Caenorhabditis elegans: one gene and its partners. The protein of the gene in region 1 interacts with the protein of each later gene in a pairwise test. Each region holds a gene or a part of one and is shown on either strand. Other genes may lie near its edges. The genes, in order: rde-4, srw-86 and pqn-70.

Region 1 (3,721 bases):
GACCGCGACCCACACTCGTTCAAAAATGAGGACGGGCGGCGCGCAGGCCGCACACTTTTTTCTTTTCTTCTCTAAATCTCGCTCTCGTGCACTGCAGAGAATGAGTGTGGAAAAGAGTTTTGTAGAGGTCAGAGGCATAGAGATTACGCATCTTCTATAGAATTCTATTGATGATTGATGGAACCACGTTGGGGAGAAAACGGACAAAGAACATCATTGGTATTTACTGTTTCTATAAGTGATGGAGGTAATGATAAAACACAGCCGCCCGTTGATGGAGTGAGAGCACATTGTCTTCATAGAAATAGAAACCATAACGCACAAAACTGTGACGTTTCGCACACAATCTTACCACGCGGCAGGCACACAAAGAACAATCACAGTAGAATTGACACGAGGAAAAGTAATGGAGGGAGAGAAAACACAAAGAACGACAAAAATATAATTTCGAGTAGTTTCAACTCTGAATGGCATTATTCAAAAAAATATTTAAAAAGGATATAATCATTCAGACGCTTCATTTTTCAGGAATACGCAATAATATTTTCAATCCGTGAAATCATAGGTGTTGAAATGGATAATCGCCGATTTACAAGCACACTGTTTAGCCTCTTCCGCCGATGAACCATGTCCAGCAAACACTAGCGGCCCGGAATCTGGCATATTCTTCTTCCGTAGCTTTTCCTTCTCGGCAGTAGCCTTCATAATTTCTTCAGTCTGGGTGTGTTCTGCTCCCATTTCCAAATCGTCGGGGTCTGGAGAAACTAGACGCCGGAACGAGATTTCCAATAGCACCTGATGTATTCCCATTGTGCTCACTGATAATACGTTGAAATCCATGCTGTAGTCTGAAAATCTTTTCTTGTCCGAGAGTATATCAATCAGTGCGGAATGCTTGTCTTTAATCTTGGATGCTTGATCCTGAATTTCGAGTAAATGTTCAGCTTCTTCCAAATTTTCAATCACATCAACTGAAAGCAGTAAAATTAAATATTAACTACAATTATTTGGAGGCATACCCATATCATATGATTCCAGAGATTCGATACCGTCTTCCAACGCTTTCCACATCAACCATGCTGCAAGATTCTTTGCGTCCTTCTTCTTACTTCTGATTCCTCTGGTTTTTTGATTGCACATCTGAAATTTTTTATTATTTTCGAGTTATTAATTAGCAGTTCTACCGTGCATATAACCAAGAAACGCTCGGTTCTCTCATTCTTGGAATCTTCATAGATTGGGGCTTGCAGCTTGCTTTTTTGAGATTTTTCCTGCAACTTTCCGACCCAATTCTCGGTTGGCGAAATACCAGGTGGAAATTCAGCACTTGTAGGAATCGAATCATCGTTATCGTTATCCTGAACAGCATCTGAAGTTGATCGTTTCAATTCCTCAGCCTTATCCGATATTTGATCACTGAAAACAATTGAAATATAATTCAATTTGATAAACTTGAAAGCATTACATATTCGAAAGAGCTTCTTCTTTGGTTGTTCCAGGAATGAAAAAGATTTCGTGCTTTCCTTTCTCCACAACCTTGCGTAAATATTCAACAGCAGCCTTTTGTCTCGCAGCTTTCTTGCTTGTTGCCTGGCCTTTTACAGTAATTTCATTCAGAATCAACGTCATCTCGAAGCCTTCAGGAAGTTCGACAGTGCCCCAAGTTGGCGTCTTTTGATAGACAGCCTTAGCAGCCTCTTCTAGTACCATGAGGGGAGTTTTCTTCAGAAACATCTCCAAATCTGTTCTGTTTCTTGGCGTTTTGTTATCCTCCGATCGGGAAGGCTTCATAGGAACATCTGATCCACCGAAAACGCTTTCAAACGTTAGTTTGGTTAAATCCATCTATAAATAATATAATTTGAAACAAAAATAATAGCGGATCTCGTTTAAAGAAACGAAAAGAAAAAAACGTTCAATTTTCAAGTTTTGCGGTAATTTCTCATCAAAGGCAACGAGACCGGTGGTACGGTAACACTTGTTTCAACTGTGCGATTTGCTGTGTACTCCTCTCGGATAACGATTGCTTCAATAAAATTTATTTATTTTAATAAAATATATTTTTCAAAGTGATCTTTAAAGTGTTTTCCTTATTTTACAGTTCATTTTTTTAACTTTGAAATTAATTTTTTTATTTTTTTATTTTTGCAGTGAATGTTTTGGTCGCGAGTTCAGTTCGCGGCACGAAGGAGAGAAGACAGTCGACCGCTTTACCGAAGAATCTTCACAAATCGTCGACTTGACATCGCTCATAAGGGTAAGAACATGATTTAGACAACGATTTATTTAATCGAAACATGACGAATATGTTTTCCAAGTTGTAGTACTCAGGCAACTCAAATCTAATATGAAAATATTAAATAGCAATATTTTCGTAGTTGGGTGATATTTCAAGATAAAATCGCAATATTCCGAGACTTATTCGAAATCTTTTTAGATTGAGCAATCTTTTGAGAATATTTCGCAATATTTTGAGGTTGATTCGCAATATTTCTGAATCTGAAAATATTACGAAAAATTCGTAATATTTTGAGATGACATAGCAATCTTTTGAGATTGGTTCGCAATCTTTCTGAAATCTAAAAATATTACAAAAAAATGTGTAATATTCTAAGATTAATTTGCAATCTTTTTGCAGTCCATAAAGATTACGAAACACCATTTCCAAATTTCCATCGGCTTCACATGATCGTGATATATATACAACAATTATGATTACTGTTCCGTTCTAAATTCTCTTTTCTTCCAAATGATAAAAGACTTTTCAAAGTAAAAAACAGCTACATGAAAATCTATATAATGGAGCATCTCACTGTTAACGGATATTTGATTTTTCGTTGCATATTGTAGAAGGAGTTTTTGCAGAGAAAGCCATAGAATTCACAAATCTGTCCACTCATGTAATTTTTTCTAGATAATTGGCCGGTCATATTACAAATTCAGTCAAACAATCACGAAGATTGGTCGAATATATTAAAGTAGACTTACAACTATTCATTCACGCGTGATGCGTTTGAGATTTTCTGATTTCAATTGAAATCATAAAATATTGTCAACAGCAAGCATGTTCCCAGTATACTCATCATTTTAATCAAATTGTTAGTGAAAAAAAATATTGAAAAAATAAAATGTTTTTCTCTCTTTGACAAAAATTCGGAAAAATTGCACATCTAACTTTTTTAAAAGCATAACAAATAAATCGTTTTTCCACATTCGCTTTCAAAGAAAGTTATCCAATTTCGCTCTGACACTTAGAAAATTTGCGAAAAGTCACTGATTTCCCATCAAAGGTAACGAAAAGGACGTGCGCCCATCAACTATTTACTTAAGCAATAACTAAATCTAGATGCGACACGTACAGGATGGCTCAACAGGTAAGATAATGGTTTATAGACTCAACGACAAGCGACGGACAAGTTCAACTCCCCTCAATGGCAACAAAAGTTCTTCGAGTTATCACAAAACAGTTCTAGAATAGTCGATGAATGCATTTTTAATATTTAGAGACAAATTCGCAATATTTTGAGACAAAATCGCAATATTCTGAGACGAAATCTCAATCTTTGCAGATGAAATCTCAATCTTCGGAGACGAGTTCGCAGTCTTTTGAGACAAATTAGTAATATTTTGAGATAAAACGGAAGTCTTCCTAGAAATTTTCACACTTTCGCAATATTTTGAGATGAAATTGTAATCTTTTGAGACAAAATTGAAATCTATT
Region 2 (3,185 bases), on another chromosome or scaffold:
TAAGTTTTATTATTACCAAATAAATCTGCGAATAACTAATTCCAGATTTGGCCGCCGCTCGCTCTCCATGAACAACCTGCCGTCAAAACGTGACTCTTAACAACTTAAAAACCTTATGAAGATCATTTTATAATTCTTTTCTGATTCCTAAATTTTTTAAATTCTTAAACTTGTATAACTCTTGAATATTTCTAATTCTTAATTTTTCTAATTCCGAAATGTTTCTAATTCTAAAATTTTTCTAATTCCAAAATTGTTTTAATTCTTTCATTTTTCTAATTCTTCGATTTTTCTAATTCTTCAATTTTTCTAATTCCAGAATTTTTCTAATTCTTACTTTTTTTTAATTCTTAAGTTTTTCTAATTCTCAAAGTTTTCTAATTCTCAAAGTTTTCTAATTCTCAAAGTTTTCTAATTCTCAAAGTTTTCTAATTCTTTAATTTTTGACTCTTGCGAAATGCGACTAATTGATGTTTAAAAACAATCCTTTTCAATAAATGATTATTAAAGATTTTGGCAATAGCAGAAGATGATAAGTTGTGTTATTACCAAAAAAATTGCGAAAAACAAATTCTCGAGAATCTCGCGTTTGCAGTGGGGCGCCCCCGCTTGCATTATTGATTTTTATGGACACTTTCTCTCTTTTTTCAGATTGAACTTTGTGAGCAAGAACATTTTGGGGTTCATTGTGGTGTGTGGTCGTTAAAAATCCATTCATATTTTGTGAAGTAGTAATTTCACAAACCGAAATTTTTTAAATTTACCAATGTGTTATGGTCTTTTACATCAAAAAATGTGGGACCATGTGAAAGGATTTTGTGCGACTTTTGCCCCGAAGTGGTTCTTTATAAATTTAGCTTAAATAAAAAGGTGGGGTCAGTCACTGGTCCGAGTGTTACGACAAACGGTTCAACTTTGTTTTCTCGACGGTTGCGCAACATTTCGACAATTCCGATAGTTATCATTTCCTCATTTCATACACACTTTCTCAGTTGATTTCATTTCAATAAGAAATGTTTTCTATGTGTGCCATGCGATTACATTTTATTACCTATTAAAACATGTGCGAAGAAAATCAACAACTTTTCCTTTGTTGGACAATAAAAAACTCATTAAATGCTCTCAAATAATAATTTCATAATCACTAGAACAATACGTCATGTAGAAAATAAGTGAAAATGAAGAAATGGAGGATCGTGTGCAAAGATTTTATACTGTTTTTTGGCATATCTTCAGGCTTTTTGTCTACAAAAAAGCCAACCAGCAGAAGAGAAATTTAAACAATAAAAAAATAGATCAGAATTTGTTTTTTCTCAGACTATTTTTTCCACACAATTCCAAGTTTTAAGAGACATTTACGGGTATGGAGTACAGTACTAGTAGAAGGATATTTTTGAGGCTCAGAGATTGATGAACTCCTTTTTAACTTGCTATTGTTCCAAAGGTGGATTTTGAAAAACTGGAAAGAAGGTTATCAGAAAATGTTTGTGATACAAGCTTTGAAAATTTACGTAAAATGATCAACCATTGGTGTTCGCCTACTTTCTGATAAATACAGTATTAATTTGCAGATTCTCTTAAAACATTCATCATTTTGGGAAAAATTGGGGGTTTCAGACAACTTTCAGATTTTCTGCATATTTTCAGGCAAGTTTCAGATAAACCGAAAGCAAACCTTTGACCTAGCCAACCAACTGCCATCTGCCTCCCTCGGGACAATCACGCAGCACCGGGCAAGTTACGGTAGGGCACGCATCGAAGAGACTGATACTAAATAACGGTGTGCGGTGAGGGGCGGAGCTAACCATGGCAAATATACTATATGTATATATACAATTTAAGAAATATTTTGTTAGATTCAATGTACATATCATTTCGTTTTGCTTTTTTTTCCATTTGTTTCTTTAATTTTCATTAGTTTCGCGGTGGCTTTTTCAAAATTTGTATTATTTGTGCAGAAAATTCGGTTTTTTTAGAATGAGATCTGCAATGCTGACATTCGAATTTAACAACAAAGAGAGTCGTTTCGCCGATTTGGGAGAAGCAAGAGATTGGCTCGAAAAGCTCGAAGAAGAAATTGCATTGATCATGGGTATGCAAGAACATTGCTCCAGACCGACCCTTACCCCGAAAGAAAGCGCTAAAAATAAAGCCGTGGTGAATTATAGTGCGGCAACCCTTGCGACTCTTCAACGTAAAAAATCTGAGTTTGAAATATTTTTGAAAAATGCTGAGGATAGTAAGTTTTATTATTACCAAAAAAATCTGCGAAGAACAAATTTCAGCATTGGCCACCGTTTCCTCTCCATGAACATTCTGCCGTCGAATGTACTCTTAACAACTCAAAAACCTTTATAACTCTTTAATTTTTTTAATTCGTAGTAAACTATTATTACAACGTTGTTTAACTATAGTTCAATAGTAACGTTGTCTTACTATTGAACTATATCTTTTCGTAAAGCCCTTTGAAATCTATAACTTCCGTTACTTACATTTTATAACCTTCTTTATTTTATTTTCTCTTCCTTCAGACATGTCTTTTACAAGATGCGACTAATTGATGTTTATAAACAATTCTATTCAATAAATAATTGTTTAGGCAATATATGATAAATGTATTATTTCCAAAAAAAAATTGCGAGGAGCAAATTTTAGAGAATCTCGCGTTTGCAGTGGGGCGCCCCCGCTTGCATTATTGATTTTTATGGACACTTTCTCTTTTTTTTCAGATTAAACTTTGCGAGCAAGAAACATTTCCAAGTTCATTGTGGTGTGTGGTCATTAAAAATCCATTCATACTTTTTGAAGTAGTAATTTCAAAAACCGAAATTATTCAAATTTACCAATGTGTTATGTGACAATTGGTAAAGGACTAAAACATTATGAAAGATGGGTGCTCGTGTGCAGGAATTTCTCACAATTTTTAGTTCTAATTTAAGTATGCGTCATGTGACAGTTTGGACAGGTATCTTACACCAAAAAAATGGGGGACCATGTGTGAGGATTTTGTGCGACTTTTGCCCCGAAGTGGTTCTTTATAAATTTAGCTCAAGTAAAAAGGTGGGGTCAGCCACTGGTCCGAGTGTTACGACAAACGGTTCAACTTTGTTTTCTCGACTGTTGCGCAACATTTCGAAAATTCCGACGGTTATCATTTCCTCATTTTTTACACACTTCCTCCGTTG
Region 3 (4,732 bases), on another chromosome or scaffold:
ATCAAAAAATCTGCATTTTTGCAAAATTTGACATTCTGCCAAAACTTTGACTGAAAATTTATGATTTAAAAAAAAGATAGTCTGTCCTTACGGAACCCGGATCTTTTGAATATTTACCTATCACCAATTTTTGGAATATTCCAATTGCCGTAACTTGTTCTGACGATACCTTCAGATTGAATGCAAAAATTTAAAAACAGAAATATACAGCTTTTCCATAATTCCATCTGAAATCTATACAAAATTTTAACATTTAATGAAGAAAAGAGTGCATCTGAAAACAATGATAACGAAGAAAACCCAATTGATTCGAATGATAAACAAAAGAAAATTAACAAATATAAACTTTTCTTGAGAACATTGGAGAAACGAGAAAGACAAACAAAACTCAGAATATCTCTTTTCTTGTCTGAATTAGAAAGAAGAGGTGTCACTTTTCCACCCGACATTTCAATCATTTTGTCAACTGTCCTTCGGCCCATCGACTCGTTCGCTGTAAACCACATTTTTTGTAAACAAATGAATCTTATTGGGACGGATCGGATTTATTATAAAACACATGTGTAAGAGAGAATCAGACTGACAAAAGTTCGGAGATTAGAATTACATTTTTTCGAAATTTCAGAAGCAAAATAACATTTAAAGGGATGAACAGAAGAGATCAGAATTTTATTCTTTTAAAAACGTTGGAATCCAGCGTTGTTTCCGAATGGTCCATTTTGGTTTCCTGGTCCTCCGAACGGCATTCCTCTTTGTTGATTGAATCCTTCTGAAAATATAAATTTTTTAAATTCGTCTGCTTTCCGAAATAAAACATACGTTGATGTTGCTGCTGTTGTTGTTGTTGTTGCTTATCGTTCTGACTAGCCAGGGCATCATGGATCAGGTTCATTATCCGATTCTGGAGTTGATCGACAAGAGCGGCGTCATTGATCTGTTCCATTTTTCTCCAGATCATCTTTCCGAAAAGTTCATGAATGTTGCTGTTCTTTCCGAATCCAGGAACTTCCATTGATGGTTCTGGTCCAGCAAATGGTTGAGCGCCCTTAAATTCAAATACGATTATTTTAACATCAAAAAGTTGTTTTCTTACGTTCATGTTATTTCCAATAGCTCCTTGTCCCACATTGTTAGCCGATGGTCCATTGTATCCTGAAAATAATATTGTTGAAAAGAGAAAATACATATTGGCTCTCATTGGTAAGAGAGCAGATCTACTAATAAAACTAAAAAACTACAAGGATTTGAATTTTAGACTCGAAAGTAAATGTTGTTTGGGGACACTACTGCGACAATCATCTTTGATTTTCAAATTTTTTAAAAATAAACTTTAAGTCTCGATGGACTATTTATTTAAAAAGAATTCGATGGAAATATCGAAGTTTCTTTTGGGAATTGTGTTAGGAACAAAATTTAGTATCTCCTCAATTTTTATACTTCATTTTTTATTTTCCTAAAAATATTTTTAGCCACGCGGTCTAGAGCCTTTTTTTGAAGTTCGAAATATCTTTTGAGATGTCAGAGTGTCCCCTTTTAACAACAGTAATTTTTTACGGAGATTATTTGAATCTCTGATAGAAAACAATCAAAAGAAAATAAATGACACTCGTTTCATTATGAAAACATAACTAGACCTGAAGGTGGGGCTCCATTTCTATTGCCGTTGTTCTGCAAACTTCTTGTTCATTACATACATCGAGTGAGGAGTTGTATCATACAACGGAGACAGAGACCGTCATTTACTACTCATGGATTTTGGAACTAGAGACTCTTCCGAAATATATGGTGAATCTAACTAGTAATATTTTAAATCGCAAAAAAAAAGTTTCACTTTACGGTGAATGCAAATTTTGTTTTTCTTTTCAATTTAACAATATAACAAAAAAATTTGAAAGAAAACATCGAGCACTTGCTCTTTTTGGAAATTGAAAAGTAAATTTTTTGAATTAATACATCTGAAATTAACAAAAATGGAGAACTGTTTTTTTTTCATTTGATGATTAGAGCCAAGAAACCGATATGCCTGAAGAATGTGGTATAAAAAGGATCAAAAGATCCGAGAGCATTTTTACTCTTATTGAGCAACACGAATTAAGAATTCATTGAGCCAGTCACCACCGTCATTTACGATTCTTCTCCATTCTCTAAAACATTTCTTTAAAGCCCTAATCAAGAAAACCTGTACGTCGGAAAGAATCTTGAAGTCCTATGTCAAAGCAAGACTCTTTACTGCGACCAGAAATGGACGAATTCGTCAAAATGTTGTGAAAAATTATTAAATTTCTGAATTCAGCAGAAATATCGCCCAATAGTAATATAATCAAATTTTATTTTTAATCATCTTCTGGTAACTTATCTGATCATTTTGATCGCTATATATTTAGGTCTAACTTAGAGAATCCGGTGGGCTGGCTCAAGATTTGAAGAAACTGATATAAAGCGTCCAAGACATTGCGAAGAACAGGAGAAACAAGGATTTTCCTCAAAAATACCTTTCCACTGCCATTACGACGATTTTGTCCGTTGAAGAAGTTCATGTTTCCATTCGGTGGGCCCATGAATCCTGGTCCTCCTGGTCCTCCTGGTCCCATTGGGCCGAAGGGTGGAACCATTTGCATCATTGGAGGCTGGTGATGTTGGCGATTTTGGTTGCGATTTCCTCCATTCTGGTTCTTATTATTTTTGTTGTTTTGCTGAAAAAAAACAATTTAATTTTTTAGAACGAGTGAATCGAAATATAATCGTGAAAACTTGATATTAGTGAAGTTAAATGAGAAAGTGCTTACATTATTTCCTTTTTTCTGGTTGTTGCTGTTGTTTCCAGCTTTCTTGTTGTTATTATTAGTTGTAGGCTGTCTCTTGATTGGCTTTCCATTCGCATCAACTCCCATTCCAGATGAACCCATTTCGACGAAGTTTCTGTAAAAAAAAAAATAATATTTAATGAGTAAAAAGCGACAAAACGAGAAGAAATAAAGAAATAAAGAAATAAATGTAAAAGGAAAGACGTGTGGCTGGTTATTTAATCACGAGACAGCGTTCGTTCAGTGTTCTCCACAGCGGCGATCGATACGGAACGAGTAAAAAGAGTACGCATCAGGTGGAGGGCGCAGATATCGCTGCGAGACCTGCAGTCGGTAGAATTGGTCGCCCCTTTAAATGGAAATTGAAAGGAGACACCTCTTCTCGTTGAGAAATACGAAGTGGGCGATATCGAGATATGGGGAAATAGACATCAAAAAATAGATTTATAATATTGATTTCAAAATGGAACTTTTAATATTTTTTCCCAAAACCCAGAATTTATCGTCGTATCCAATGAAAAATTGCTCTCAACTGTAAAGTTAAAACTCGACCATGCACATATTTCCACTCTAGCGATTCTTAAGACATTATCGAGGTCGCATTTATATTTTAAAATATAATGAATGTTTTCAAAGCGGAAAGTGCTAGAAAAAGCAAAGGATTACTCCAATATGTATCTAAACGATAGAAAAGCTCACTTTTCCGTTCTACCCAATTGGTGGTGTCTCTTTACGAAAAACCATATATATAGAGAGAGTTGTGAGGGGCTTTTCTATGAACGGAAAAAAGTGAACAAACATGTTTAAACAAAGAAAAAACCATGGTGAGGTCAAAATGTAGATAAGGAATGAGACAATGTATATTTGGCTTAAGTGTAGAACTTGATCTCAATAAAAAACACATAAGTCAAACAAAGATAAAGATACTTTTAAAAAAAATATATATATTCGAAAGCAAACAAAAATTAACGGCAAAATTCGGTTAAATACATTTTAAGGTACTCACGTGGTGTCAGAGTGTCCCATTTCGATTTGTTCTACTTAGACCTACTAGAATTGCGTGCGTGAATTTAGACACTATCTCCTCAACTGATTTCGCATGATTAAGAACGTGCTGATGTCCCATTGTTTGTAGATCAAACCGTTATGGGACAATCTAACAGCGAAAATTTATAAAATTATTGTTGTATGTTATTCTTTGGAGGCATATTTTTAATGGAAAAAAGGAAAATATCTAGAAGTTTTTAGTCAACCTTGCACATTCTTTCTGATATTCGACTTGATGAGGTCTTCATCTTACTGATTTGATGATGTTACATAATAAGAACTATTTTTATAAAAATTACATACAATAACATTCAACAATAATTTTATAAATTTTCCAAAAGAAGTAAACACATGTTCTCATGCATTCCGCCATCTTTTTCAAAAACTCTGACTCCGGCTCTGTACCGTGTGAGCACTTGAAATCATACGGAGCAGACAATGAGTGCTAATGTGATATGCAGAGATTTAGAGATATGTTAACAGGACAAGCGAGACAATCCTCGCAACACACCCATCACTTTTTGTTCACTGATAAAGTTTTGTTGTATAGGTGTTCGCACTGCGAATCCCTTTTTAAGATTCAAATTTTATATCTTTATGGCAGTCTATCACTTTCATTATTGCAGAGACAAGTTTTTTTGCCGATTTTTCGATTTTTGTGCGGAATTGTCTAGTAGTGATAAAAATAATATCTCTTACATGTGGATATTAGTACAATTTTTACAGTCGAAAAGTTAGGAAAACTCAGTTTTCATCTCTCAAATTTTGAAAGTCGATCAAACAATTTTTACTAGTCTTATATTATAGCATCGATTCAATTTTTCGTATTTAAACATTCTAAGGTTTTGAGCCTACGGTAATGTTAGGAATTATTTAAAAAT

The links.
Region 2: the proteins of rde-4 (region 1) and srw-86 interact in a two-hybrid assay, tested with the Caenorhabditis elegans proteins (one study listed by BioGRID).
Region 3: the proteins of rde-4 (region 1) and pqn-70 interact in a two-hybrid assay, tested with the Caenorhabditis elegans proteins (one study listed by BioGRID).

What each region holds. Positions count from the first base shown.
Region 1 is NC_003281.10:10,216,800-10,220,520, forward strand, and holds rde-4 (DRBM domain-containing protein), read right to left. Parts: upstream 1,848-3,721; 5' UTR 1,846-1,847; coding exon 1,466-1,845; intron 1,417-1,465; coding exon 1,185-1,416; intron 1,141-1,184; coding exon 1,020-1,140; intron 972-1,019; coding exon 547-971; 3' UTR 503-546; downstream 1-502. Other genes in the region: cox-14 (Cytochrome c oxidase assembly factor 3), read left to right, coding at 2,155-2,257.
Region 2 is NC_003283.11:19,399,505-19,402,689, reverse strand, and holds srw-86 (PH domain-containing protein), read left to right. Parts: upstream 1-1,970; 5' UTR 1,971-1,989; coding exon 1,990-2,239; intron 2,240-2,285; coding exon 2,286-2,311; 3' UTR 2,312-2,613; downstream 2,614-3,185. Other genes in the region: C25F9.12 (PH domain-containing protein), read left to right, coding at 46-71.
Region 3 is NC_003283.11:11,225,785-11,230,516, forward strand, and holds pqn-70 (Prion-like-(Q/N-rich)-domain-bearing protein), read right to left. Parts: upstream 2,920-4,732; 5' UTR 2,907-2,919; coding exon 2,787-2,906; intron 2,694-2,786; coding exon 2,493-2,693; exon of another isoform or gene 1,669-2,492; coding exon 1,635-1,668; exon of another isoform or gene 1,153-1,634; coding exon 1,094-1,152; intron 1,046-1,093; coding exon 820-1,045; intron 770-819; coding exon 678-769; 3' UTR 532-677; downstream 1-531. Other genes in the region: bgal-1 (Beta-galactosidase), read right to left, coding at 118-227.